Linked DNA regions of Nothobranchius furzeri. The protein of the gene in region 1 interacts with the protein of each later gene in a biochemical or structural test. Links are inferred from orthologs where the notes say so. Each region holds a gene or a part of one and is shown on either strand. Other genes may lie near its edges.

Evidence for each region.
Region 2: the proteins of CASP8 and FADD-like apoptosis regulator (region 1) and dedd1 form a complex in vitro, tested with the Homo sapiens proteins (2 studies listed by BioGRID). The link is inferred for Nothobranchius furzeri from reciprocal best matches to the Homo sapiens genes CFLAR and DEDD2.

The regions. Positions count from the first base shown.
Region 1 is NC_091754.1:17,632,952-17,635,414, forward strand, and holds part of CASP8 and FADD-like apoptosis regulator, read right to left. Parts: intron 786-2,463; coding exon 736-785; intron 649-735; coding exon 618-648; intron 415-617; coding exon 368-414; intron 278-367; coding exon 199-277; intron 1-198. UniProt on the Homo sapiens protein: Apoptosis regulator protein which may function as a crucial link between cell survival and cell death pathways in mammalian cells. Acts as an inhibitor of TNFRSF6 mediated apoptosis.
Region 2 is NC_091745.1:74,797,122-74,801,341, reverse strand, and holds the start of dedd1 (death effector domain-containing 1), read right to left. Parts: upstream 2,957-4,220; 5' UTR 2,852-2,956; intron 2,546-2,851; 5' UTR 2,384-2,545; exon of another isoform or gene 2,377-2,383; intron 947-2,376; 5' UTR 917-946; coding exon 445-916; intron 333-444; coding exon 210-332; intron 1-209. UniProt on the Homo sapiens protein: May play a critical role in death receptor-induced apoptosis and may target CASP8 and CASP10 to the nucleus. May regulate degradation of intermediate filaments during apoptosis.

The DNA of each region.
Region 1 (2,463 bases):
CACAAAAATGCAAATCACAAAACCAAATTACTGCATAGGCATTAAAGCAGCAATCTGGAGTGTTCCCCCTTTCAGGAATTACGTATGAGTTTTTCAGAAATCCATAAAGTGACAGCATTAACCTGTTCTGTGAAAGAATGTGAGCGATTTGTCAAAATTCTATTTTGTTTTACCTCATTATAATGTTTTAGGTCTCACCTCCACCATTTCCCACACAGTCTATAATTACACAGACTCCTCTTGGATTAGTGTTCAGGTTGTACCGTTCCATCGGACTCTGCAGGAAGAAAGCACAAACCTGTTAAACATGCACTTTAAATAAGTACATAAATATATTTAATATGCTTTATGACTGGTTAATATTTACCCCGCAGGCTGCCTCTTTGTGTACAGGAACCACCATGTTTACTCTGGCTGTTGAAAGAGTGATGCGTTCAAATGTGCAACAATTCAAAACACCTGGGCGTTCTGTGGGGATTTCCTGTTAGTTACCGTAAAACCCCCATGTGACATATTATAATTTTGAATAATCGGTAATCTGAAATGGTATTTCACCAAACATTAACACCTATAAAACCGCATCATCAGGATGTCTTTAACTTTAAAGCTTGCCTTACCTATGTGCGCGGGCTGACTTTGTTTGATTTCCTAGATGAAACATATGCGAAGTTGGTTTTATTTTTATATCAGTTTGAGAAAAATCTGGGAGACTTTTAATGTTTGTACACTACGCACAGCAGCTTGGCAGCTTTGCCGTTGAGCTAACGGCTCTGCAGATGGCCCAGCTGTAAACGACACAGAAAAGTAAACAAAAGTAATAAATAACACAAAAAATAATGTGAAAAACAATTTGCTAACTTTTTCTTTAGTTTATTTACTTATAACATGGGGAAACTATAAAAACATTTATTTGAAAAATTGCAGTGACAGTAAGAATGACATCTGGTGGTAAAATGTAGGTACTGCGATCCATGTATCAAAACAAATGAGTCCACTTTCACCCACTTCCCCTTCCCCTTAATGAGTTTCATGCTGGTTGCCAGTTACAGATCAGCCACCAGAACATTCAAGATGAAAAGTGAAGACGAGTGTAAGTTGATAAGTAAATAAATACATTCCACTGTAATGTAGAATTGTTCATAATTGAAATGGGAAGTCTGAGAAATTGTCAGAGTCGACAATCGTTTTTCTAATTCACTGTTAAAATTGTTAGCTCAACATTAGCCTCTAGCCTTCTTTACTCATTAAAGGCGGCGTAGAGATGCCATGGCTCTTTGTTTACAAATTACTTCTGGGCTGCTCCTTTTACTGACTTCCATTCTGTGCCAGCCTGTGTCAAACTATAAATGCTGGCGCAGTCTTTGCGTTGAACACTTGGCAACCTTGCAAGCTCACATATGTATGGCTATGGAACCAGGAAGAATGGAGTCGGGACTGTTTGGCCTAGTCCCAATACTCGTACTTCCATGCTTGCACCCCTCAAATTGGCGTTCCTGTCCAGTTTGTGAGTGCACAGGGTGTCAGGATTCTCAAGTGTGGCCCTTGGCCCCGCCCCTTTTTTCACCCTTGAGCCACACTTAGCCGAAATTCACACCGATGTGGACTTCAGCCCACAATCTATTGTTGTGTGAGGATTTTGAGAAGAATGCGGGGAAATGGCTCAAGCGCTCTTTATGAAAATATTTATTTTCAAGTACTTGTAAGCATTGAAATATTGAATATTTTATTATTGTATACACATACAGTACATACAGTTACAGTATAAAGCCTACATACCAGAGGTGTGGACTCTAGTCACATGACTTGGACTCGAGTCAGACTCGAGTCATTATTTTAATGACTTCTGACTTGACTTGATAAAATCTATAAAGACTTATGACTTGACTCGGATTTGAACCCCAATGACTTGCGACGTGAATCAACTTGCATCTGTTGACTTGATGATGACTTGAGCATATTTGCCATTTTTGAACAAAAGTGGCACGACATGGACAAAAATCGTAAATCATTTTTCGTTCTGGGTTTGATTTACTGCTAAATGAAGCAGCACTTCGTTTAGAATCAGTTTCAGTTGCACTTTCTGCTTGTTCGAGCAAATAAATGAAGCTTTAAGAAGTTTTATTTCTGGAATTTATTTATTATCATCGTCATTAAATTGAAGTTTGACAGATGACTTGATTATGACTTGAAAATTCAAAGTTAAGGACTTGGACTTGACTTGGACTTACACATCATTGACTTTGGTTTCGACTTGGACTTGGTTGTCTTTGACTCGAGACTTGACTGGAAAGACTTGTGACTTGCAAAGCAGTGACTTGGTTAGAGCCCTGCACTGAAGCCCTAGGCCCTCGGGTTGGCCCGGCCCAACGGCCGGGCTTCGGGCCAACGACTGTGTAATTACCTCGGACACGGGCCGGGCCGGGCGCCTTTATTTTTAATCGAATTCATAAAAACAATTTGAAA
Region 2 (4,220 bases), on another chromosome or scaffold:
TACATAGGCTCAGGTGTGGCGCTACGCCACGGATACGAAACGGCAGTGGCGCCACAGCTAACCCAAACACTCTGAACTGCAGAGTTTGACGTGTTCTGGAATCTTACGGAACGCTCCCAAATCCTAACGCTTACGCGTCCTGTGGAAAGGCCCAGTTACCTTTGTGTGTTGCTGGTTTGGTAGGCCTTGGTTCTGGACAGTGCACTCACCGGTGGTAAATGGGTTTGTGAAAGATGAGAATGGGATCTCTGTCTGTCTGCAGGTATGCTGCAGTCCAAACACCAACTCTGTTCTGTTCGTTTCATACCTCTGTCCAACTCTCTCTGGAGACACTGGGAAGACAAACAGATTATTTATAACTGAGCCATCTAAATTAACATGAATAACAAATACTTTGAGTTTTACAAAACAAACTGTAAAGAACTTTCGTTTAAAAGTCCTCACCCGTCCTCCTTCTTTTATGAGACACCAAAGGCAGCAGGTCATGACGAGTGAGGACTCTCAGCAGCTGCAGCAGTGGTTCCAGGTTGCCATCACAGAGATATCCTCGTCTCTCAAGCTCCAACAGCAGCCCAACACCACTCTTAGGCTTTATGTCCACTGACGATGGCTGGGATGCCTTGGGCTTTATCCGTCCCCACGCTTTCAGCAGCGGTGGAGTCGGTGCCAAGCCCAAGTCCTCTGGATCGTCTTCAGCAGGTTCAATAGTCCAGCCTACAGGGTCGAGAGGGTGTGGTGCAGAGTAGCTTTCATTCAAAAGGAAAGAGAGAACTTCTATATCGGTCTCTGTTAGCTGACATCCAACTATTTCAAAGATCTCATGTAGAGACAACATCCCATAGTAGTTGAGGCATTCTGTTTCATCCCAGTAGAGCGAGTCCCTGTTGGTGGGCCCTGGAAAATGCACTGTAGCCATAGTCTGGGATTGTCCACCTTCTGTCCTGAGCTGAAATTAAGAAAAAGAGGAACACAAGAATGACTTTACTGGACCATAACAAAGGACAAGATACAGATATGGAGGTAGATGCCCAGCCTCCAAACATACAGTCCACGAAAAACTATTAAAAACAAATGAGTTTAGAGCCTTAATGCTACAAGCTGAAAAATACAAATATTGCTAAAAAGCCAATGAAACAATGACATAAAGGCCCGACATTCCTTGTACATCACCCATTACCTTTCATGCCAGGGTTTAAAAATCTGACCTGTGTGTTAAATCCGATTTAGTCGAATCCTCAAAAAACACAACTTGACGTGACACACAGTCTTGCAGAAATGTTAGTACCAAGAGTAATGAATGTCTCTCAACAACGGCCACGACTAATTTAAGGTCCATATCTGTAAAGCTGGCTGAGTTACAGCAATTTGATCTTTGCTAAAACCAATTAAATGTGGCAGCAACCCTGATTCTGTGTAAGTTCAATGGTTACGTAGGATCATGAGATAACATGACCTCCCAAATGCCTCCGGGCTCCACCTTTCAGTGACAAACAAATAAACAGCTTTAATAAACATGTTAGCTTAACAGTTTCTATCTATAGCAACATTTACGTCTAGATTAATATACTTAAAGAATAATTGTTGCATTTAATTTGGTTCCTGGAGATTATCTGAAGACTGCTAACAACTCACATCCTACAGTAAGAGGCGTCCAGTGTCTAAACTTTATTCAGTACTTCATGCAAGTTTAAAACTATTTTATTTTTCTAATTGAAACAGCATATTGTAGTTTTCAACAAGAAAACTAAAATAACTTTATTTGGCACAAACTTGAATTGTAGAATTGTGCATTCTTTTTCCTGTCTTTTGGAAAAATCTCCGACCTCATGCATACTCCAGATACAACTCATAAATCTTTAGAGAAAGGGCTTGAAGGACTTCCACTTACTATTTAAGGAAAACGAGGTTCTTAAAAGCAACTTTTGTCAAAAAAAAAAAAAAAAAAGAAAAGAAGAAAACTCATTTTCAAGCTATTTTGGGAGATATTAGGAAGTTAGGAAGTTTTGGGGGATGTTAACCTAATTTAGTAATTTAGCAATATTTTAACACAATTATCAATTGTTTGAATAAACGTTCTCCAGTTTGGTTTATTTGCTGTTATTTACCCTATTTTGTTGAGCATTTTTTTAAATAATCTATTAATACTGATTGTTATTGGAAATTAAACAAAAATATAAAATATAATTAGCTTTTTTGGGGAAAATGCAACTATTTACACCATATTTTCTGACATTATTTATACTTATAGTCGACTAAGTTATAATATATATGTGAGATTTTGAAAAAATATGACATAGAAATGTATTTTCCTCGGGAGTCAGGATATAAAATGTTAATGTACGTGAGCTCAGTGTGTGTGGAGCTGAACATTCCTGCCTTTTACCGTTTCAGCTTGACGCTCTCCACACACACGAACCAGTCAGCGGTGTCGTTTTTATCTTCAGGCAAAATGTGTATGAAAGCAGCTGGAGGCTCCTGAAACGACTCGTTCCTCTTGTGTTACGGTTTTACGCTTTATACGAGTTTATGTATCCTGTCACGGTTTCTGTGGAGAAAAAAACGGTCATTAAACACCCAGCCAGGACAGCTGTTGAGCTGAGTAAGCTAAAGAGCCGAATAAGCTAAAGCTAACGGAGCCAGCGTAGGCTAATATGCTGCTATGGCGCTGTGTCCCCCTTTAGTGCATTTGTAAAAAAAAACGCGTACATTTTGTTTTAGCATTGAAACGTTACTTTATTAATGACTAACAAAAACAGAACTGTCATAAACCCCAAGGTCTGAAGATTACATTTAACAACACGTAAAAACATTCCAACAGCTAAATTTGATAAGATAATTAATAGCGCCTCACCTTCTAATGTTTGTTTCCTTTCTTTCGCTGGCGGATCTAGCAACTTCCACAGTGCCGCGTGCCCAGTGACGGCAGCACCACAACACTCGTCTATCTACCAATCACAGCCTCTTTGTTTGTTACATGACGTAAGGTCACGTTTTTACCATTTCTGATCTGCAGTCAGTTTTTCGTGCTTGTGTGGTTTTGAGCAGCCACCGCAGAAAACAGGCAGCCGATCTCAGGTCGGCTTTTTCAACAGATGTGTTTTCGGCTGTTAAGAGAAAAAACTCCGTTTTTTGGATGAAGTAAAAATAATGCAAAAAAATAAATAAATAAAATAAAAAGTAATACAAATGAAAAGTTCCACCTGTGTTGTGTAACACAAAATTCGAAGTACTCTATGTAGCCAGTAGGTGGCCCTGCCTAGAGTCAGCGAAGTAGGAAGTTTTTTCTTCTTCTCCAGCAGCCACATCACTTCCGAGATCCAGAACAGCAACAAAAGACAGCTCAGGCTGTCTGGTGAAACTTCTGCCTACATTTTGGTGAATGATTTAAGGGTTTAGCATTTTGGCAGGTATGTTGTAATTTAAATTCTTATTTTAAAAACAAGTGAAAATTACGTTGACGTTAAATAAAATCCGGAAGTAGACGTAAACATTAGCTCATAAGCTAGCATTTTACATTTACATTCAGGTTTTAAATAGACTCGTCGTGAGTATAATATTTATATTTGAAATTGCTACTTCTAGACACTGTTGTTTGGTAACGAGAGTTTCTCGGTTATCCTGTTTATTTAGTGATGTGGCACTGGCCGGGCCCTGTTTCTACTTCTTCCTGTTTCTCTAACTAAGGATCGCCATTAAACTAGAAAGACATGTAATCATTAGACAGTGATTGTTTATACACTTGAGACCGTTTTAGATTATGACGTGTCAAATGTGGCGTTTTAAAATACGAAAAATCAAAAGTTAGCTCCATTGACATTTGCGATTATTGCTTTCAAAACAGCTTAAGAACCAGGGAGGTTTACTGGGAACACGAGGAATATGAAAGATAAAATAAGAAGTGTTGGGGTTAAAACATGTGTCTACAGTAGATCTGAAGGTCAATGAAAATGGTGCAGTTATAGAAACGACCATATGTCAAGTTTTCAGTCAATATATCTTTTGGAATCCGTTTTGTGTGTGTGTGTGTGTGTGTGTGTGTGTGTGTGTGTGTGTGTGTGTGTGTGTGTGTGTGTGCTAAAGTACCTTTTTTTAATTTCTCAAATTGTTTAATCTTTGGTATTTTGTCATCGATTCTAATTTAAAAAATAGGATTTAAATGTCCACTACACTACACTACACCAGTTTCAGAAATGTTTTATGCCTGAAGGATTTATAGACTA